Linked DNA regions of Macaca fascicularis. The protein of the gene in region 1 purifies or fractionates together with the protein of each later gene. This does not show direct contact. Links are inferred from orthologs where the notes say so. Each region holds a gene or a part of one and is shown on either strand. Other genes may lie near its edges.

What was found.
Region 2: the proteins of NCOA4 (region 1) and FTL purify together in Homo sapiens (co-immunoprecipitation; 3 studies listed by BioGRID and IntAct, counting the BioPlex papers as one, with this or other methods). This does not show direct contact. The link is inferred for Macaca fascicularis from reciprocal best matches to the Homo sapiens genes NCOA4 and FTL.

The regions. Positions count from the first base shown.
Region 1 is NC_088383.1:59,176,425-59,187,961, forward strand, and holds the end of NCOA4 (nuclear receptor coactivator 4), read right to left. Parts: intron 10,985-11,537; 5' UTR 10,971-10,984; coding exon 10,830-10,970; intron 9,569-10,829; coding exon 9,428-9,568; intron 9,245-9,427; coding exon 9,156-9,244; intron 8,856-9,155; coding exon 8,747-8,855; intron 7,946-8,746; coding exon 7,856-7,945; intron 7,341-7,855; coding exon 7,197-7,340; intron 6,707-7,196; coding exon 5,720-6,706; intron 5,051-5,719; coding exon 4,910-5,050; intron 1,862-4,909; coding exon 1,856-1,861; 3' UTR 352-1,855; downstream 1-351. UniProt on the Homo sapiens protein: Cargo receptor for the autophagic turnover of the iron-binding ferritin complex, playing a central role in iron homeostasis. Acts as an adapter for delivery of ferritin to lysosomes and autophagic degradation of ferritin, a process named ferritinophagy.
Region 2 is NC_088393.1:56,941,884-56,953,691, reverse strand, and holds FTL (ferritin light chain), read right to left. Parts: upstream 4,506-11,808; 5' UTR 4,304-4,505; coding exon 4,202-4,303; intron 4,041-4,201; coding exon 3,894-4,040; intron 3,525-3,893; coding exon 3,399-3,524; intron 2,904-3,398; coding exon 2,751-2,903; 3' UTR 2,607-2,750; downstream 1-2,606. Other genes in the region: apoptosis regulator BAX, read right to left, coding at 5,164-5,583, 9,120-9,224.

The DNA.
Region 1 (11,537 bases):
ACTGCACTACAGGTTACACACATAAATATTACTGTATTAAATACCGGGTGGCTATATGATTGGAGAAAGTAAACTAGGGCCTTTTTGGATGCATCTAGTAAGAGGAATCCAGTAGAAAGGCACTGAGTCTTAGCTGAAGTCCCGTAGGTTTTTTTTTAATAGATACGAATAGTTTTCATAAAAGACTGAAAATGGAGGTTAATATACCTATTGTTTTCTAATTTTTCATAAAATACACTGGTTATTTTTATGCTCAAGCTGTTTCTCAGCTGGATTCCTAACCAAAAGTTGCCACATTACATAACACCACACTTTGTGACAAATAGTTTTACAAATAACACGCAACAACTATGGCTGTTATGCTTTTAATGGAGGCAGATACAAAATTCATCAATGCAAAAGAATGTTTCACATACTCATTAACATAGTGATTAATATAAATTATATTTTGACTTGTAAAATACAGTGTGTTTGGCCTCAAAAAAGAAACTACAGAGCTGCAACTCAAGATAACTGGAAAGGCTCCTTACATTGTTTTTGCCCACCACCTTTGTTATAATACTCCTAAAACGATATCTGGAGAGGGAATTAAAAAATAATACAAAGCTCTTTTCAGCTGTGGTTCAAAGAACTCTAGTGAAGCTGTATGGCAATGACATTGTGGGACCATGAAGTTTCCCCAGAAGTATTTCCAATAAGAGGCAGTTAAGAAGCTTAATAGTTTCAAAGTATGGAAAGCAGCAAAGGTATCTTAGAGAAAACATAAACCCACTTTCCTACAGACATTTTAAAGCATGGACGTAACTTTAAGGAGACTGAGAAAACATCAGTAGTTTTCACAAAGCTTCAATGATCACCCCAAGGCACAAGTGTTGAAAACGGCCTGTTCACTAAAACATCACTTTTGGAGGTACAGGTATGCTGTGCTTGCAGTGAAAGGATGACTTTATCACTAGTTAAAAGCACCAGGTGTCAAGCTCAGCTTCCATTTACACAGGATGCACCAATAATCCCTATGATAGTGAATGGTTCAAGTACTATACTACATTTCCAACATGTCTTTTGCCTATTTGCTTAGTCGGTACTTGGGTTCTTTTAAGCCCCATAGGTCTGTAGAATATTTTAAAAGGCTAGAACTACCTCAAAAATAGTCTTGAAATATTACTGAGTCCTTCTAAAAGAGCTCACTGGATATTTTAATAACATTTACAGAAAGACAAAATTTGCAGTAGCTGAGTTTCTTTTAAGAATAATGTAGAACTAACGTGGGCTAAAATGTCAAAAATTGCCAAGATTATTAATACATATTTTGGTAATCACTACTGACCAGGTTAATTTTTTGTGCAAAATACACTATATATTAATAGAACAGGAAAATCATTATTTCAGACCACTAACAGGAGAAAACCCACAGCAAAAGAAGCATCTGTAGGGCAATTAAACATTAGGGAAGTTTACTAGCTTTAGAATACATCAATACACTTCGATTACGGAAATAATTCATTTTTAAACAAGAGTGTTTTAATGTACTTTTAGTAATGACCCAATCTAAGGAGCCTTGGAGGTTTGTGAAAAAGACTATCCACAAAGATGCTGCTTTTCTAGTGTGGGGTGAATTAATACTTCTGTAAGAAGGAGGGAACTGAATCACCTCAGCATGAATAAACAGCATTTTTCTTTTAAACAGTAACTCATAATCTGATGACTCACTTTGCTTTACTAGTTCAAAATTAGGCAGGAGAAGAACTAAGCTAACTGGTCAGACCCAGAAACACAAAGATTTGGCAAGCCGCAGTCATTCAGCTCATGATGTGTGATAATCGGCAGAAAGGCTGCTCAACTCTTGTCCATTCCTTCACATCTGTAAAGAAACGCCCACAGATAAGTTACTTCACTGAAGAATAAAAGCAAATTTTCCCTGCCTTAAAGCTCTGACTCATTTCCCAATATAGGTATACCTTGTTATATTGTATTTTTTACAAATTGAGCGTTTGTGTCATTAACTGTGCCCATTAAAGATGGTAAACTTTTCATCGATAAATGTATGTCCTGAATGCCCACCAAACAGCCTTTCCGCATTTCTCTGCCCTCTCCTCAGGCCTCCCTGGTTCCCTGAGACAAACAAGATTGAAATTAGGCCAATTATTAACCCTACAATTGCATCTAAGTGTTCAACAAAAGGAAGAGTCCCCATCTCTCATTCTATTTAAATCAAAAGCCAGAGCGAGAAAGTCATGTTGAAGGCCAAGAGAGGCTGAAAGCTGGGCAGGCCTTTTGGACCAGCCAAGCTGTGAACACAAAATCAAAGTGTTTTTTTGTTGTTTTTTAGCTTCTCATTCTCTGGCTGAAAAGTTCTTGAAAAAAACGAAGTGCTACTCCAGTGAACAGATGAATGATTTAAAAAGAACAGCCTTATTTCTGATATGGAGAAAGTTTTAGTGGTCTCGATAGATCAAACTAGCCACAACATTCCCTTAGGCCAAAGCCTAACCCGAGTAAGGCCCTAATTCTCTTCAATTTTATGAAGGCTGAGAGAGGTGAGGAACCAGAAGTCATGTTTGAAGCTAGCAGTGGTTGGTTCATGAGGTTTAAGGAAAGAAGCCATCTCCATAGCAAAAATGCAGCGTGAAGTGGCATGTTAACCAGAATAGCCAAGATCATAAATGAAAGTAGCTACAATATTTTCAGTGTAGACAAAAACAACTTCCTATTGCAAGAAGTAGTCATCTAGAACTCGTAGCTAGAGAGATAAGTCAATGCCTGGCTTCAAAGGACAGACTGACTCTCTTGTTAGGGACTAACACAGTCAGTGACTTTTTTTTTTTTCTTTGGAGACAGGGTGTCACTCTGTCAACCAGGCAAGACTGCAGCAGAGCTATCATAACACATTGCAGTCTTGACCTCCCAGATGCAAGATTCTCTCACCTCAGCCTCCTGAGTAGCTGGGACAATAGGCACGCTCCACCATACCCAGGTAATTTGTTAATTTTTGTACAGAGGGTCTCTGTATGTTGCCCAGGCTGGTCTTGAACTCCTGGGATCAAGCAGTCTTCCTACCTCCGCCTCCCAAAGTGCTGGAATTGCAGGCCTGAGCCACTGCACTGGCGGCTAAGTTGAAGCCAGTGCTCAATTACTATTCCAAAAATCCTAGGGCCCTTAAGAATTACGCTAAATCTGGCCAGGCGCGGTGGCTCACGCCTGTAATCCCAGCACTTTGGGAGGCCGAGGCAGGTGGATCACGAGGTCAGGAGATTGAGACCATCCTGGCTAACATGCTGAAACCCCATCTCTACTAAAAAACAAAAAAATTAGTAGTCCCAGCTACTTGGGAGGCTGAGGCAGGAGAATGGTGTGAACCCAAGAGGCAGAGCTTGCAGTGAGCCAAGATGGAGCCACTGCACTCCAGCCTGGGTGACAGAGACTCTGTCTCAAAAATAATAATAATAATAATTATGCTAAATCTACTCTGCCTGTGCTCCAGAAATGGAACAAAGCTTGGATGACAGTACACCTGTTCACAGCATGGTTTACTGAATCTTTTAAGCCCTCTGTTGAGAACTACTGTTCAGAAAAAACATTCCTTTCAAAATACTACGCCCATTGACAGTGCACCTGGTCACCCAAAAGCTCTGATGGAGATGCAGAAGGAGATTAATGTTTTCATGTTTGCTAATAAAACACCCATTCTGCAGCCTATGGATCAAAGAGTAATTTCAACTTTCAAGAATTATTTAAGAAATACATTTTTTAAGGCCCTAGCTGTGTAGGTTCCTCTGATAGATCTGGGCAAAGTAAACTGAAAACCTGGAAAGGATTCACCATTCTGGATGCCACTAAGACCATTCATGATTCATGAGAGGAAGTCAAAACATCAACATTAACAGGAGTTTGGAAGAAACAGATTCCCACCCTCATGGATGGCTTGGAGGAATTCAAGACTTCAGTGGAGGAAGTAACTGCAGGTGTGGTGGAAACAACAAGAGAAGTAGAATTAGAAGTGGAGCCTGAATGTGTGACTGAAATGCTGCCATCTCATGATCAAACTTAAACGGATGAGCTGCTTATGGATGAGCAAAGAAAGTAATTTCTTGAGATAGAATCTACTCCTGGAGAAGATGCTGTGTATTGTTGAAGTGACAACAAAGGATTTAGAATATTACATAAACTTAGTTGATAAAGAGCAACATGATTTGACTCCAATTTTGAAAGTTCTACTGTGGACAAAATGCTATCACACAGCATCACATGTTACAGAGAAGTATTTCATAAAAGGAAAAGTCAACTGATGCAGGAAACTTCATTATCTTATTTAAAGAAATTGACACAGCCATCCCAACCTTCAAACAGCTACCATCCTAATCAGTCAGCAGCAATCAACATCAAGGCAAGACTCTCCAACAGCAAAAAGATTGTGTAAATGGCTCAGATGACCTTCAGCACTTTGTAGTAATAAAATACTTTTTAATTGAGGTATATACATTGTTTTCTTCTTAAGACATGATGTTATTACAGACGTAACAAACGTATATACAACTTTTATATGCAATGGGAAACGGAAGTATTTGTGTAGCTCACTTTATTGGGATATTTGCTTTATTGCAGTGGCCTGGAACCAAACCCACCTTCAAGGTAGGTCTATAAGCTATTAGAATCCACATGGGATTTGAAAATTCCCAACGGTTACATCTTGAAAGTTCCCTTTGAAGTATGCCTAGTTAGTTCATAAAGCAAATTCAATTAAAACACATGAACTTTTTATGAGCTCCCCCGTCCCACCCTCACTTGCCTAATATACATACTATTAAAAGGGATATGGTTCAATGAGCCAAGTATGACTTCATATGTAAGACAAAACATTTATTTTATAACTAGCTATAAGCTAATTTTCACACTGGTAGCATGTACCCACCTGTAGAGGAGTTCGATATAACCACTTCTCTTTATCAACTTTAAGTTGCATACAGGCAAAGAGATCACAAACTGCAGGGAGGCCATAATGGTCTGGGGGGAAGTTATGTTCTTCCTGTAGAGGTGAATTAAGTAATACTTCCTGCAATAAAAGAAAAGAGTAGGTTGCTTCATGAAAACTAGGAGGCATGAGACCAACTTATCTTTCAAATAGGGTCTACAGAGAATAATTTAAATGTTGGCCATTCTCTCTAACAACCAAAAACAAAGGTGACAATTGTTATTTCTACCCCAAATATTTTCCATAAATAGCAATAAAACAGGCTAGATTATTTTCTTTCCTGAAGGATGGGGCCTAGGCCTGGAAAACACAAAAAATTCATAAATCCTCCATTCCAAATTTAGTATTTAACATATTTAAGGATCTGGCCAGTTTGGAAGGTTTGGGATTATGAAATATAAAACTCCAGGCCAGGTGTGGTGGATGACGCCTGTAATCCCAGCAGTTTAAGAGGCCGAGACGGGCAGATCGCTTGAGCTCAGGAGTTCAGGAGACCAACCCCGGGCCAAAACCCCATCTCTACCAAAAATACAAAAAATTAGCCAGGCATGGTGGTGCATGCCTACAGTCCCAGCTACACAGGAGGCTGTAGTGCAGGCAGGGGGATGGCTGGAGCCTGAGAAGGGGAGGTTGCAATGAGCTGAGACTGCACCACTGCACTCCAGCCTGGGTGACAGAGACTCCACCATCTCAAAATAAATGAATAAATAAATAAAACTCAAACAGTGCTATTTTGATGTTTATGCTCACCTGGGCCTTCTTTCGAAGCAGCCACTTGTCTTCTTCAGAGGATAACTGGCTGAGGTTGCCCATCTTCTTTCCTGGCAGGACCCAGTCAGCTGTGTTAAAGGAACACCAGGAAGTGTTCATGGGGCTTTTAAACTTTTGTTTGCCATCTCTGTCTTCAGTACTAGGCACTTCCTTGGGACTTCTTTCTTTGTATGGGGTCCTGATAAGCCACTCCGACAAGGGGCTGTTCTTTATGACTTGGAAGGAATCAGCAATTCTAGAAGGAATCATTGCCTTTGGTGCTTTAGTTTGTTCTATTACTTCTTTTCTAGAAGGACAGAGCCACATATTCAGGGAATCTTTATGCTTCTCAGGCTCAGGTTTGGGTTCCACAGGCATCCCATTTTTATCCTTTCCTTCTTTCTTCAGAAGCCATTTATACAGAGCCTCCTTCTCACAATTCTCATCACACACACACTCTGCAAAGCTTGTGCAGGGCTCATTGGCTCTGCACACTTCTTCTACCTTACACGGGTCCTGATGGTTCTGGACAAGCCAATCCTCTGTAACCACGCTGGGGGTGGACAACTGTTTCTTGGTCTCCAAGTGGTCATTCAGGCACTTCAGATTGCCCAGGTTTTCAATCTCCACACCTTTGGGCTGGTTTCCCTGACAGTTGGTACAGGAGTCAGTCTTGACAAGCCAATCATTCACATTATAGGACTGGAACAAGAGCTTAAACTTCTCACTGGTTTCACGACTGTCATTCTCAGGCTTCCGTAGCTTATGGGATTCCTGGGGAGTCACTAGCCAATCTGATAGGTCCATCTCATCTTGATCAGGAAGCTCTTGATCTCCAACCTTTTCCATTTCAGTGGAGAAAGAACTAGTAGTGGAATGGCTGTTACACTTTTGATAACTTGGTTTTTCACTCTTGAGGAGCCAGTTTTCTAAGCCCTTTAGGTTTCCCCAGACATTACTGAAGAAATTGCAGGCTCTGGGAGAAGTCTACACAAAAAGTACACAGTATTAGTTTGCCAGAACAATTATGACTGCTTGGGAGATTCTGTCTGCACTTTTTTTTTTTTTTTTTGAAACGAACTCTTGCTCTGTCACCCAGGCTGGAGTGCAGTGGCGCAATCTCAGCTCACTGCAAGTTCTGCCTCCCAGGTTCACGCCATTCTCCTGAAGTAGCTGGGACTACAGGTGCCCAACACCACGCCCGGCTAGTTCATCAAATTCTTGAGCCCCTACTGCATGCCAGATGCTAAACTGGTTTTTGTTTTGTTTTGTTTTGTTATTTTTTTGAGACAGAATTTCACTCTGTCACCCAGGCTGGAGTGCAGTGGGGGCAATTTTGGCTCACTGCAGCCTCCACCTCCCAGGTTCAAGCAATTCTGCAACCAAAAACTTAACAATGACACATACTACTACTAATTAGTAACTAACCCCACCTACTGCTGCGTCTACTGTAGAAACAATAAAAGCAGCAACAGACCTGACTGTTCTCCAAGGTCTGCTTTTGGGTGAGCCAGTCGTGGGGGTCGGTGCTATGTATGTAAGGAGCCTGATGACCACTGGCAGGTTTGCTTCCAAGGAGCCATTCACTGAGAGGGACAGCTACAATACCGGATGCTGACTTCTGTTAATCATATAACAAGGAATGTCAAATGCAGTAGAAAGTTCACCAGAAAAGGAGAAGAGCCACTCTCTAATCTTGGCTTGCCACTGACCCTGGGCAAGTCTTGTGCCTTCCCAGAGCCTCAATTTTCACAATTATAAAACAAGAGACATAGCTGATCTCTAGGGCTCTTCTCAACTAAAACATCTAGAATCTTTATTCACATTGCCATTCCTTTAGAAATAAATCATCTCTACAAATTATAAACAGGATCCCTCACAGAGAACCAGTATCAGTAAGACAGCTAATGATAATTTCCTGTGAACTATTGATAATTACTTTGTCTGTTAACCCCAGCAAGATATCTAAATTTCTATTTGGCATTAGATCGCAAGGGAAGCATTCAATTTCATAAACTAACTCATTGCCACTGGTGCCTTTTTACAAATAGTAGTATTTTTTTAAAGCTATATAAAACGCAAAGGAAATATAAGCCAAGCAATGACTTAATTACCAAAAACAAAATGGTATTTTACCTGCTCTGGCATTGGGATATAGCCTCTCTTCTCCAGGAAGGGCCCAATATTTGATGAACTAGCATGAGCCATCAAGTGCTCAGGAATTTGCTATGAAATGAGATAATTTAATCATGTTATTTATGCTATGCTGCCAAAAAAGTGAAATTATAATTCCAAATTTCAAAAATGTTAAAGCATTAATATTTCATTAGAAATATTGTTGACACTAAATTCCATGACTTACAAAGTAGTTATCAAATTTGAGAATACTCTACCACATAACTATTATATAAAAAATCTTCACCAGAATTGGTTGTATTACCACTTTTAACAAGACCCAAATGTTTGGTTCTTTATTAAAAACTATTCAAGCCATAAATTTTACAAAAAATATATCAGAAGTATTTGGAGAGATACATGAGGCATTCCAAAAGAGTATCACTGAGTCTGTACTACACTCCAAGAACTACCAACCTAGGCAACTTAAGCAGAACATGACTTTTTTTTTTTTAGGCGGAGTCTCACTCTGTCGCCCAGGTTAGAATGCAGTGGCGTGATCTCAGCTCACTGCAACCTCCGCCTCCCGGGTTCAAGCGAATCTCCTGCCTCAGCCTTCCAAATAGCTGGGATTACAGGCACCCAGTTAATTTTTTAGTATTTTTAATAGAGACAGGTTTTCACCATGTTGGCCAGGCTGGTCTCGAACTTCTGACCTCAAGTGATCCGCCCTCCTCGGCCTCCTAAAGTGCTAGGATTACAGGCATGAGCCACCACGCCCAGCTGAGAACATGAAATTTTTGAAACTAATCAAATTCTCAAGAAAGTCACTACTCATAGTAATTTTTTTTAAGACCAGCTGTGATGCCACAGATATGAGAAGTGCCCAATGAAGCATATGCGATTACTCACAATGGTTTTGAGAGACCCAAATGTGGTGATGGTCTGGCGCAGAGCAGCTGTGTCAGCTTCAAAGAGCAGGACGGTTGAATCTTCAGGCTTAAGGGTCAAACTGCCCAGTCTGGGGAAGAAAAACAAAATTGGCTATTTTTAAGGAATATCTATTTCATCAACTTCACCCAAAACAAAAGTCAAATTGTGAGTAATTTTAAATGATTATACTTCTCTAAGATACTCAACCAAAGGTAGACGGCTTATTCATGTATCAGCAAGTATAATATTAAATACATAAAGCAGAATGATCTTATCCTAGCAACATACAAGTTAAATACAACACATGCAATGAGTTACAAAATTGACTTTCTTTTAGTATACCAAAGTTAAAGAGTCAAAAGTTAAAATAAGCAAAAAGGGTTGTTACCTCTCCAGGCACACAGAGACTTGATTGGCTAGATCTTTGTTTTGGGTACACTCCAGTTGATGAGTAAGACAATTGAATTGGCCCAATAACTAAAAGAAAAATGAAACCATCTAGCCACAATGATACCAAGAGCACCAGATATACTCAAGTTACCAAACAGAACTTGAGATTAAACTTTTATCTGATCTATATTAACACTGCATTACAAGGAAGATACTCTCTGGCAACCAGAAGCCATGCTCAAACCAGTTCTAGCCATGCAGTCACCTTACCCAGTAGAGCTGCTGAGCCTGCTGTTGAAGTGTCTCCTCTTTAAGCTGATAAATAAGGTCCACCTGTTCATACAGCCACACCTCACGGCTTCTAAGACATTCCAGGTGACGGCTTATGCAACTGTGAATCTGAGCTTTGACCTAGGAAACACATACATGTTAGCTTCCTAGTGTTATAATCCCAAAGAATGATGTTTCCTGCAGAATAGTGAGGTTCTTAAACTTTTTTGGGGCGGGGGAGGGCTTGGGGGGAATCACAAATCCTTTTTAATATCCAACGACATCTATGAAGTATCTCCCCAGAAAAAATGCGTATTTTCAAGATTTTGCCTATAATGTCACGGTTTAGTGTTCCAAAGTCCACCCAAGGACCCACTAAAGCCCTATGGACCCCAATTTAAGAATCCCAGCCATAAAGGCATACCTAAACTCTAAAATCCTCCTGCAATACCCATCCTTCTAAGAGGATTAGGTTTAATTTGGGTGTCCTAATCAAAAGAAAATACAAGAATGTACCAGGAAATACTGATCCCCCTCAGTTTTCCACATAATTTAAAAACCTATGGTTTTACAAGTTTATCAGCAGAATAAAGACAGAGTATTAACTTAATAGCTAGCCCCTTATCTCTTTTCTCACCCCACAGAATGAGCAGTCCATTTACAGCAGAACAATTTAGTAAAGAGATGTGCCACCACATGTCAACAGCTAGAAGACCATTAGGGTAGACAATTTAAGTAAAATTATAAACTAATGTTTCTGGAAGCATAAACAGTGATTCAAACAGGGCTAAATATAAAAATCCCAAGGGAAAAAGTCAAAACAGGCCATAAATTATCCATGACAATACACATAAGAAACTATATTTTAAAACACATTTTTTTTTCCTGTTTAATAAAGTTGTGTTTCAAAGTCATGTAATACTTGATCTAACACACACAACAACAAAATACTACTGGAACCAACAACAGATTTCACTCTGGCTTGCCCTAACAGATAGTCATTTACAGAACAATGCCATTAACCAGTTAAAAGATGACGGGGAGGATGCTCAAGTGCATCCTTCATGCAATCAAGAGGACGCAGCTGAGAGGATACTGCTCACTCATTTCATATTTTACTGGTTACAGTGCCTGAGGAATCACACAGAGGAGTAATCAAAAATGCATGCTGAATAGAATTTTCTAGAATGGCACAGGGTCTTCCAGACTCTTCTAGCACCTGCCTTATTTCCCCTTGGGATGAAAGGCACCAGTGTATCAGGCAACTGACTGGGACCAAGTAGACCACGCAAGGCATGGGGTGAAATTTTTTGTTGGCACAGAGAAACCAAGTCCTTGGCCATGCTCTAACCAGCCCTGTGCCAAGAGTCCAGACAAGAGAAGAGAAAAGCACATGTCACACCTCTCGCAAGTTATCTTTAATTTGCTGTTCAGCCCGGAGAACTCCACCAATAGCAAGCTCCAAGTCCCTCCGTGCATCACTACACCTCAACAGGGGTTCTCTATTACTGGAGCTGCCACTCTGGTCTTGGAAGGTATTCATTCTCCTCACTGCTCCTTTAAAAGAAAAAAATATATATAAATAGCACCATAATTACAACCAAAAACCACCTTTCAATCATCCCTCAAATGATCATTCCAGCCAACTCCCATTACTAACTACTTAGATTACTTTCCAACACTGGAGCTAGCACATAAGATACTCTTAATAAATATTGTCTCCTCCCTTCCCTCTACCACTGTTCCTGCCATAAAACTCTAAAATCTACTTTAGTAACACTTTACATGTGAATAGCTATTTCTGGAAAAATACACTAATTGTCCTGAATCAACAGAGCATACAGTGTCCTGAAAAGTTAAAAGAACATTAAAATATAATTTTCTATTTATAACACACATATAGTCATATGAGGTATGTGTTCCTCTTTGTAGATTTAGAGATGAAGACTAAAAGGTACAGCTTATTACTTTGAAAATAAGCTGCAAACAATCAAGTTTAGAATACTGTTTAGAAGACGGAATTTTTAATTTCCCCCTTTACGGTAGAACTTTTTTTTTTATTTAGGAAGAACTTAAGAATTACTTCATAGCTAGGAAGCTCTCAAAAATA
Region 2 (11,808 bases), on another chromosome or scaffold:
GCAGAGGACAGAGCTGGCTGTCTACCCCCACCCCTAACCTGGCTTATTCCCAACCGCTCAGCCCACTGTGAAACCACTAGGTTCTAGATCCTGGCTTCTAGATCTGGAACCTTACCACGTTGCTGCATACTAGTCCCTTTCCCATGATCCGGAACTGAGGTCACTGGGTTCTAGAACCCCCACATTTACCTCGAGGCTCTTCCATCCCCAAACTGTGCCCTGCCTTCAGCTTTGGTGAAAAGGAGGGACCCTCATGTGTGCTGTGCTGTGTCTGCACCGCTTGGTTTGCAGTTGGGAGGGGAGGGCAGGAGGGGTGTGATTGGAGTGTGTCCGGAGATGAGATGAAAAAAATACACCTATATTTAAGAATCCCAGGTGTGGTCAGACATGAATACTTGGGCCTGGGTCTGACGTCCCCCCAACGCTACCCCTTCCCTGGTCTGAGCTCATCCTCCTATTCTAGAGATTTGGATTTTGCTGTTCTAAAATTCCAGTGTCATTCACGGAAGGTACCTCTGATTGCTTACTTGGGCCTTGATTTGCAAGTGGCAAAAATTTGGCTTAAGACATCTTTGGGGCCGGGCGCGGTGGCTCAAGCCTGTAATCCCAGCACTTTGGGAGGCCGAGGCGGGTGGATCACGAGGTCAGGAGATCGAGACCATCCTGGCTAACCCGGTGAAACCCCGTCTCTACTAAAAATACAAAAAACTAGCCGGGCGTGGTGGCGGGCGCCTGTAGTCCCAGCTACTCGGAGGCTGAGGCAGGAGAATGGCGTGAACCTGGGAGGCGGAGCTTGCAGTGAGCCTAGATGGCGCCACTGCACTCCAGCCTGGGTGACACAGCGCGAGACTCCGTCTCAAAAAAAAAAAAAAAAAAGACATCTTTGGCATAAAGGGGCTATGTGACTGGGAGGAAGATCTATAGGACAGCTGTGAACCTTGTGTAGCTTTTTTTTTTTTTTTTTTTTTTTGAGACAGAGTCTCGCTCTGTCACCAGCCTGGAATACAGTGGAGAGCAATCTCGGCTCACTGTAACCTCCGCCTCCTGGGTTTAAGCAGTTCTCCTGCCTTAGCCCCCTGAGTAGCTGGAACTACAGGAGCACGCCACTACACTGGGCTAATTTTTGTATTTTTAGTAGAGGCAGGATTTGACCATGTTGGCCAGGCTGTTCTCCAAACTCCTAAGCTCAGGTGATCTGCCTGCCTCGGCCTCCCAAAGTGCTGGGATTACAGGTGTGACCCACCGTGCCTGGCCACTTCTTTTTTTGATAACAGGATCTCCCTCTGAATCCCAGACTGGAGTGCAGTGGAGAAATCATGGCTCACTGCAGCCTCAACCTCCCAGGCTCAAGTGATCCTCTCACCTCAGCCTTCCAAGTAACGGGGACTATAGGCACGTGCCACCACACCTGGTTAAATTAATTTATTTTTTTTTAGAGAATGGGGGGTTCCCTATGTTGCCTAGGCTGGTCTCAAACTCCTGGGCTCAAGTGAGCCTCCTGCCTCAGCCTCCCAAAGTGCTGGGGTTACAGGCTTGAGCCACCCCGCCCCACCCCAGCCCCAGGGGAAGAAGGGGAGGAGTCAGAGCTGACAAAGCAGTTTTGCAGCTTGGACCCAGCAGATGCTTTTTAAGGCCTGTTTTCAGCTTTTTCAGTTCCCACTTGGAGAATCTGGCCCAAAGTTTCACATCCCATTTCTATGATGAACCCTAAACCCCTTGTCCAGCATTGCTTGGGCATCACGTGTGCCTGGCCGCTCAGCTCCGCCTGTCAGTTCCTCTCAGTGTGCGCCTCACATTGGGATTACTGAAGCTTGGGCCATAATCTGTAAACTCTGGAGCAAAGACCTCAGTGAGCCTCCTGGTTGCCATGCAAGTTGCACAGCAATAGCCTCAATGTGCCCATATAAAGGGCCTAATAATTTCAGCTGCCTCCCAGAATTGAGGTTTGTTTTTTTTTTTTTTTTTTTGAGACAGTCTCACTCCATTGCCCTGTCTGGAGCACATTGGCGCGATATCAGCTCACTGCAACCTCCGTGAGGCAGATATGGTTTTTGGGTTTTTTTTGAGACCAGAGTTTCGCTGTTGTTGCCCAGGCTGGAGCGCAATGACGTTGATCTCAGCTCACCGCAACCTCCGCCTCCCAGGTTCCAGCGATTCTCCTGCCTCAACCTCCTGACTAGCTGGGATTACAGGCATGCACCACCACACCCGGCTAATTTTGTATTTTTAGTAGAGGCGGGGTTTCTCCATGTTGGTCAGGCTGGTCTCGAACTCCTGACATCAGCTGATCGGCCCACCTGGCCTCATAATCACTCGTTAAATAGTGCTGTTTCTGGCTGAAACCGAACAGATCTGTGTCCAGGTACCAACCTAGGTCTTAATTCAACTCCCTGGAGGCTATCTCTGCCATCTGGGAGGGACAGTTAACAGCCAGGCAAGCAGAGAACCCTCAAGTTCAACACTACCCAGATAGCTTCTTGTCTTAGAAGAGATAAGAAAATGGGAGATGGGGCCAACTCCTCTTTCACTGGCATCCCCAACCCAGCCAGAAGCTTTATGAGAACAGATCCCACCTCATCTTCCATACCACACACAAAACCACCAACTGCATCAAAAAGCTTTATTTCCATTTGGTCCAAGGCTTGTTAGGGTCGTTAAGAAAGCTGCCTAGTGGCTGGAGGGAGAGGCTTAGGCAGAAGCCCTATTATTTTGCAAGGGGCCCTTCAGAAGTCGCTGGGCTCAGAAAGCTCTTAGTCGTGCTTGAGAGTGAGCCTTTCGAAGAGATACTCGCCCAGCCCAGCCTCCGGGCCGGCCAGCCTGTTGAGGTTGGTCAGGTGGTCACCCATCTTTTTGATGAGCTTCACTTCCTCATCTAGGAAGTGAGTCTCCAGGAAGTCACAGAGCTGAGAGAGAAGAGGGAGAAATTAGAAACCCGATCCCTGCCGGGCGCGGTGGCTCAAGCCTGTAATCCCAGCACTTTGGGAGGCCGAGACGGGCGGATCACGAGGTCAGGAGATCGAGACCATCCTGGCTAACACGGTGAAACCCAGTCTCTACTTAAAAAAAAAAAAAATACAAAAAACTAGCTGGGCGAGGTGGCGGGTGCCTGTAGTCCCAGCTACTTGGGAGGCTGAGGCAGGAGAATGGCGTGAACCTGGGAGGCGGAGCTTGCAGTGAGTCGAGATCCGGCCACTGCACTCCAGCCTGGGCGACAGAGTGAGACTCCGTCTCAAAAAAAAAAAAAAGGAAACCCGATCCCTGGAAAAGAGGGAGAAAGAGCTGCCAGTTGCAGATTAAAATATGACAGGTGTTAAATGAGGCTCTGAAGGGAATTTGCCCAAAGAGAGCAAAGGCTTGAGGGGTATGGTTGGGTAGCCATGGATGCAGGGGGTACGTACATGGGGATCCGTGTGGGCAGAACCCAGGGCATGAAGATCCAAAAGGGCCTGATTCAGTTTTTTCTCCAGGGCCATGGCGGCTTTCATGGCATCCGGGGTTTTACCCCACTCATCTTCAGCTGGCTTCTATACAGAAGGGAGAAACGGCTTCAGAATACACACACTCGGCACATGGAACTAAACCTACATTTCCCAAGAGTTGGTGGGGGTCAGAGGCCCAGGCCACAAAGACATGTGACAGCTTGTATTTATCACTCTCCGCACCCCGTCCTAGCTCTTACAGCTACACGTCCTTACGTCTACGCAGCAGTGTGGACTGCCGCGTCCTGGGGGCACTGCACGACGTGCGCCTCTATTTCCAGCCGTAAAAGGGCTCACAAGACCGAACTCAATCTCCCCGAAGCCCACGCGACATCTAAGCCCTCAAATCAAGGCTCCTCGCGCGCACGGCCTGCTGGGAGATGTAGTCCGTTACCCTACCCACACACTAGTTACCTTGACGTCCTGAAAAAGAGCGCGGCCGCCACGCTGGTTTTGCATCTTCAGGAGACGCTCGTAGCCCTCGCGCTTCTCCTCGGCCAATTCGCGGAAGAAGTGGCTCACGCCTTCCAGAGCCACATCATCGCGGTCGAAATAGAAGCCCTAAGGAAAGAGATGGAGGGAACAACGCTTAGCGGGAGGCGAGGCCAAGGGGGACTCTGCCCTCTGTTTACTCGACCGGACAAAGAAGGCCGGCGCCTGCGCTGAGGGCCGAACGTGCGCAGCTGGGGGAAATTAGGGCCAGGGGCGTCCTGGGGACTCACCAGAGAGAGGTAGGTGTAGGAGGCCTGCAGGTACATATTGACCAGGCTGTTGACGGCTGCCTCCACGTCGGTGGAATAATTCTGACGAATCTGGGAGCTCATGGTTGGTCGGCAAGACGGAGCTAACCACAAAAACGGTGCTGGCAGGTCCCAGAAGCAGGAGATGGCCGAGAAGATGGTCCCGGAGGTTGCAAGTGGAGAGGAAATCGGAGGGCGGTCGGAGGCTGGAAGAAAGAGTCCCCGGATCTGTTCCGTCCAAACACTGTTGAAGCAAGAGACAGACCCGCGGGACCGCCGAACTGCCAGGGGACGTGGCTAGGGCGGCTTCTTTTATAGTGCGCTGGCCCTCGGAGGCGGGGCGCTCGGAGCGGGCTATCGGCCAATCTGCGGTGGCAGGAGGCGGGGCCGAAGTCCGTGCCTGACCAATCCGGAGCACACAGGAGTCTCAGCCCCCGCCCCAAAGCAGGGGGAAGTCACGCGCCTGCAGCGCGAGTGTGTTGTGAAATGGGGGCTTGCGGGGGTTGGGGCCCTGGGGCCGATTCGAGGAATGGAGGGTTTCGTGGGCGGGGGGGTGGGGGGTGGGGGCTGGGGTTCCTCTGGGAGACTATAGTTTTATGGGAGCATTAAGAGTCCTGTGAACTGATGACCCTGGGGTCCTGGGGGTGCCTCGGGAAAGTAAGTCAGATTCTGGGGTTTTGGAGGGCATGGATTTTTCTGGAATCTTGAGTGGGGGGAGGGGCAACTCAGAGGTGCAGGGAGGACCTGTAGTTGCCTGAGGTTTGTGCTGCGAGATAAGGAGTCTCCGGATCCTTGGGAAGCTTGGAAGGCAGTGAGGTGGTATTTCTGGACCCCTGGGGATCTCTGGGAGACAGAGGGGTGCGAGGACTGGAGTCCTGGGCTTTACAGAGGTGGGAGTTCACGATGCAAACTCTATATTTTGGAGCCCTCCCCCGGGGAGATCTTTAGGTCCTTGAGGTGCTCTGCAAGTTGGAAAGGGCAGTTGTTCTGGAGCCGTGGGGTTCCCCAGTGCGGGAAGCCCAGGAGGAGCATTGTATGAGGTAGGATGACTTCTGGAACCCTGGACAGCCCTCGGAAACCCTCCAAAGACTGGCTGGGACTTTGGGGATACCTTGGAGCTCTTTCAAGGGCCCAGTCGTTTTCTGGGAGTGGAAATGGGGAGGAATGAAATGTCTGTTTCGAGCTTTGCGGTGTCTCTGGGACTGCGTGTCCTGGGGGCTGTTTTGGAGGCAACTCACAGACTCCGAGAATTCTCCTTGGCCCTGAAAACAGTGTCTCCGCAGTTGCCGTCGTGTCTTGCCTGACGTGTGCTCTTTCAGGCCCACAAAGAGAAGCCCTGCGTTGTGGACACACAGTCTGGGGACCTATGGACGAGACGTCTGTCTACAACTAATGCGTATTTTTTTTTTTTTTTTTTGTGACAGAGTCTGGCTCTGTTGCCCAGGCTGGAGTCCAGTGGCCGGATCTCAGCTCACTGCAAGCCCCGCCTCCCAGGTTCACGCCATTCTCCTGCCTCAGCCTCCCGAGTAGCTGGGAGTACAGGCGCCCGCCACCTCGCCCGGCTAATTTTTTTTTGTATTTTAGTAGAGACGGGGTTTCACCGTGTTTGCCAGGATGGTCTCGATCTCCTGACCTCGTGATCCGCCCGTCTCGGCCTCCCAAAGTGCTGGGATTACAGGCTTGAGCCACCGCGCCCGGCCTCTCTAATGCGTATTTTTTAAGCGGACCTGGTCCATGTTGATTTCTGGGAGACGGAGTCGGCGCAAACCTTGACCCTGCTTAAGTGCCCCGATGGAGGTAGCCCGTGCGCTGGGCAGGGAGCTGAAGCCACTGGGGCGTGGGGTGTGAGGTCAGGCCCTGCCCTACAGAGGAGCCGCTCCGAGCAGCCCAGGCAGGGCAGCCCCTGACCGAGGGGATCTGCAGATGCCTCGCCAGGCCGGTATCTGGGGTCCTTGTTGCAGGCAGCGACTGCTGAGTCATGCTGAGCTCAGCGCGGGAAGGGGCCCCCCGCGGGGACGGATGTGGGTGGGGCCACTCACTGACCTCATCCCCTTGGCACTCCCCGACTTTTTTGGTGGGACCCTCAGAAGTAGACCTGGCTCAGACCCAAATCGGGCCCCTTCCCCCCAGGTCCCCCCTTGTTGGAAGCCGGCTGTGTGCTTTGTCTCCGTGTCGTTTTGGTTCCCATGTTTTTTTCTTTTTTTCCTGGGATCCTGCCTGTGGCCATATTGTCCCCTCACTCTGGGTGGTGGCTCAGTGTACACTCATTGATCCTATTTCCTCTCTCCCCTGACTTGGGGTCTTTGGGAAGAGTCCATGGAGGAGGGACAGCCGCCCAAAGCACCCGGTTGACTGTGGGACCTGAGTTACTCATTTACCAAATGTCATACCTCAGCCCAGAGACCTTTAGTCCCGAGAGGGGCCTTGGGGCCCATAGGTGGAGGTAGAGGAGGGGCTGAGAGAGACAGGATCTGAAGACCATAGAGAACGTGGAGTGGGGACACAGAGGCCCAGAGAAAAAGCGACTCAGACAAAACCCTGAGAGAGAGGGGGACAGAGAGAGAGGGGGACAGAGATCCAGAGAGGGGGACAGAGACGCAGAGAGAGGGGGGGACAGAGACCCAGAAAGAGGGAGACAGAGACCCTGAGAGAGAGGGGGACAGAAACCCAGAGAGAGGAGGACAGGGGTGGGAGGGGAACAGAGGCAGGGAGGTACAGAGACCCGGGGGTTGGGGGGACAGAGGCCCAGAGGGACCCCGGGGGGAGTAGAAATCCAGAGCAGGGGTACAGATCCAGAGAGAAGGGGGGGCAGACAGAGATCCAGAGAGAGGTGGGGCCAGAGACCCAGAGAGAGGGGAAACAGGGACTCAGAGAGAAGGGGACAGGGACTAGGTGGAAAAACAGAGACCCAGAGAGAGGGTGGGACAGGGATGAGGGGGGACAGAGACAGGGCGGGGGAGAAGAGACCCAAGAGAGGGGGACAGAGACCCAGAGAGGGAGGGGGACAGAGACTCAGGGTGGGGGGACAGAGACACAGAGAGAGATGGGGGGCCAGAGATTCAGAGGGGGGCTAGAGACCCAGAGAGAGGAGGCCAGAGGTCTGGGGATGGGGGGTGGAAAGAGCCCAGAGAAAGAGGGCCAAAGGTGGGGTGGGAACAGAGACTTGGAAAGCAAAGACCCAGAGAGAGAAGTGGGGACAGAGACCCAGAGATGGGAGGGGGTAAAGACCCAGAGGGGAATGACAGAGCCAGAGAGAGGGGGCGCCGGAGACTCTGACTGAGAACCCACATCCTCTAACCCCCTTGTCTTCGCTCGGCCCTTGTCTGAGGTCACTGGGCCTCTGAGTTCGGCACCTTCTTCCGGGAGTTCCTCTCCAGGGGGGCCCCACCCAGCCGTGGGGCCAGACCAGGTTCCTCCGCCTCTGCCCTGCCCTCCAGCCTCTCTGTCCTCAGCCCAGCTCAGGAGGCCTCTCCCATGGGCTCTCTTGCCCTGGTGTCCTCAGCCTGCCACCTTCCAGTCACCCCAGGCTCCAGAGCCCTTCCTGCTTCCCTGGTCCTACCATCCCTCCTCCTCCCACCCCCATTCTCCAGCTCCATAAAGGTATGGCCTCCTGAGGTCCCATGTGTGACACTCCAGGCTCTGGTCCCAGGCTCTGGAGGCTTGCTGTGCAGCCAGCTGTGCTGTTCTTCCCCCTACCCACACGCCTGCTCAGGCCTCACAGGCCACTGCCTCTGTCCTGCACAGATCGTCCTGGGCTGCGACAGATGTGCCACCAGTCACCTTCGTTTCCCTTCACGACTGTGGGCTCCTGCAGGGTAGGCCCGGGACCAACTCATCCCTAACCCGCAGACCCCAATGGGCACCCCAGAAAAAGATGTCAAGGGAGTGCAGAGAGCCCCACGTCCCTGAGTGGCCCGAGCAGGTATCTCTCGGTGAGCAGACGGCAGGCCTGGCATGGGGCGGCGGGCAGGGCCTGCTCTCCTGATGTGCCAGGGAGCGGGGCAGAGGCCCAGTGACTCAGATGCCGAAGTATGTCCCGAAGGAGGTTTATTACCCCCTCAAGACCACTCTTCCCCACCCCCCCAATAATTACAAAAGTAAGAAAAATGCCCATGTCCCCCAATCCCCACCCCTCCCAGAAAAATGCCATAATTTATGGAGGAGAAACACAGTTCAAGGCAGCTGGGGGCCTCAGCCCATCTTCTTCCAGATGGTGAGGGAGGCGGTGAGTACTCCAGCCACCAAGATGGTCACGGTCTGCCACGTGGGCGTCCCAAAGTAGGAGAGGAGGCCGTCCTGGAGACAGGGACATCAGTCGCTTCAGCGACTCGGCCAGGGGCAGCCCCTGGGCAGGCACAGGCAGGATCAGGGAGGCAGGAGGAGGTCAGAAGGCAGGATTGTGGGCAGGGGACTAACATGAATGGGCATTGAAGAGCTGGGCTCAGGCCAGGCATGGTGGCTCACACCTGTAATCCCAGCACTTTGAGAGGCTGAGGCAGGAGGATCGCTTGAGGCCAGGAGTTCGAGACCAACCTGGGCAACATAGCGACACCCCCTTCTCAGTGGGGAAAAAAAAAAGACAAGAGTTGGGGTCAGAGGATCATCAATGAACTTGAGCAATTCCGGAGGCAGTGGAGGCTCCAGGGAGGGCAGAAGGCACTAATCAAGTCAAGGTCACAGTGAGGTCAGAGGTCACCGGGAGGTCAGTGGGATAGATGAATCAGGGATTGATCAGACACATAAGGAAATGCATTATAGACCACATCTGACGATCCGAAGATGGGGAGAGGGCACCACTGTGACCGGCTCCAGAAGGCCCAGGGTCCCAGAGGAGTGGCGGGTGGGCAGGGACAGTGGGGCAGGGGCGGTGGTTGGGGTGAGGAGGGTTGAGGAGTCTCACCCAACCACCCTGGTCTTGGATCCAGCCCAACAGCCGCTCCCGGAGGAAGTCCAGCGTCCAGCCCATGATGGTTCTGATCAGTTCGGGCACCTTGGTACACAGGGCCTGTGGGGAGTGGAGTGAATGTTAGGGACCGAACCTTGTCCCCAATGCCTGGGGATAGTGGCCCCCAGCCTCCTTTCTCAATTCTTTGCCTCCCCTCAAAGATTTCTGCCACCCACAATTGAAGTCGGCTTCAAATATTGTAAACATGGCCAGGAGCACCAGCTCATGCCTGTAATCCCAGCACTTTGGGAGGCCAAGGCAGGTGGATCATTTGAGGTTGGGAGTTCAAGAACAGCCTGACCAACACGGAGTAACCCCATCTCTACTAAAAACACAAAATTAGCCGGGCATGATGGTGCATGCCTGTAATCCCAGCTACTTGGGAGGCTGAGGCAGGAGAATCGCTTGAACCCGGGAGGCGGAGGTTGCGGTGAGCCGAGGTCGCGCCATTGCACTCCAGCCTGGGCAACAAGAGCAAAACTCCATCTCAAAATAAACAAATAAATACAAAAATTAGTTGGGTGTGGTGGCAGGCACCTGTAATCCCAGCTCCTTGGGATGCTGAGGCAGGTGAATCGCTTGAACCCAGGGGGCAAAGGTTGCAGTGAGCCCAGATCACACCACTTCACTGCAGCCTGGGCAATAGAGCAAGAGTCTTGTCTTAAAAAATAAATTAATTAATTAAATAAAATTGTAAACAAGATCATGTTACTCTCAACTGCCCCATCCCTGAGCCTTCTGTGGCTCCCCAGTACCCTCAGGATGAAGACCTGAAAGCACAACGCAGCCCACAAGCCCTGTGTGCAGGCTCTAGCCTGACCTCACTCCACCTTTCCACTTCCTGTTTTGTGCCTCACTGAGCTGCTTCCATTTTTTTTTTTTTTTTTTTTTTTTTTTGAGACGGAGTCTCGGTCTGTCGCCCAAGCTGGAGTGCAGTGGCCGGATCTCAGCTCACTGCAAGCTCCGCCTCCCGGGTTCACGTCATTCTCCTGCCTCAGCCTCCCGAGTAGCTGGGACTACAGGCGCCCACCGCCTCGCCCGGCTAGTTTTTTGTATTTTTTAGTAGAGACGGGGTTTCACTGGGTTAGCCAGGATGATCTCGATCTCCTGACCTCGTGATCCGCCAGTCTCGGCCTCCCAAAGTGCTGGGATTACAGGCTTGAGCCACCGCGCCCGGCCCATTTTTTTTTTTTTTTTTAAGATGGAGTCTTGCTCTGTCACCCAGGATGCAGTGCAGTGGCACAATCTTGGCTCACTGAAAGCTCTGCCTTCCGGGTTCAAGCAATTCTCCTGCCTCAGCCTCCAAAGAGCTGGGATTACAGGTGCGTGCCAACATGCCTGGCTAATCTTTTTTTTTTTTTTGAGATGGAGTTTTGATCTTGTTGCCCAGGCTGGAGTGCGATAGCGCAGTCTCGGCTCATTGCAACCTCCACCTCCCGGATTTAAGTTATTCTCCTGTCTGAGCTTCCCAAGCAGCTGGTATTACAGACATCTGCCACCACACTGGGCTAATTGTTTTTTGTATTTTTAGTACAGACAGGTTTCACCATGTTGGTCAGGATGGTCTCAAACTCTTGACCTTAGATGATCCGTGTGCTTCAGCCTCCCGAAGTGCTGATGTGAACCATCGCGCCCGGCCCCATTTTTTTTTTTTTTAATTTAAAAAATTCCCATCAAATTCTTCCTGCCTCGGGACCTCTTCTTGTGCTCCTGTTTCCACCTAAACAGGCCTCGACCAAGCAAATTCTCACCCTTCAGCGCTCAGCGCAAATGTCACTTCCCCAGAGAGGAATTTTCTTTTTTTTCTTTTTTTTTTTTGAGACGGAGTCTCGCTCTGTCGCCCAGGCTGGAGTGCAGTGGCCGGATCTCAGCTCACTGCAAGCCCCGCCTCCCGGGTTCACACCATTCTCCTGCCTCAGCCTCCCGAGTAGCTGGGACTACAGGCGCCCGTCACCACGCCCACCTAATTTTTTGTATTTTTAGTAGAGATGGGGTTTCACCGTGTTAGCCAGGATGGTCTCGATCTCCTGACCTCGTGATCCGCCTGCCTTGGCCTCCCAAAGTGCTGGGATTACAGGCGTGAGCCACTGCACCCGGCCAGAGAAGACTGGCCCCTGCCCATGGATCCCTGACCTTCTCTCCCGACTCCCAAGACTTCTCCTTCAGCCTTTATCTGGCCACCTCTATTCTGTCATCCCCGCTCTGTAGGTGGCCCCACCATCACCTGCACTACTATTCCCCTCACCGCCAACGTTCAAGCCCCATCAGCTCAATCTTGAAAACACATCAAGAAATAATTCCTCTTGGCCGAGCGCGGTGGCTCACGCCTGTAATCCCAGCACGTTGGGAGGCTGAGGCAGGCAGATCACCTGAGGTCAGGAGTTCGAGAACAGCCTGCCAACATGGTGAAACCCCATCTCCACTAAAAATGCGAAAATTAGCCAGGTGTGGTAGCGGATGCCTATAATCCCAAGCAACTCTGGAGGCTGGGGCAGGAGAATCGCTTGAACCCAGGAGGTGGAGGTTGCAGTGAGCCGAGATCGCACCATTGTACTCTAGCCTGGGTGCAACAAAGCGAGACTCCATCTCAGAAAAAAAAAAAGAAACATCCCTCCCATTAGCTGGTGTGGTGGGGAGCGCCTGT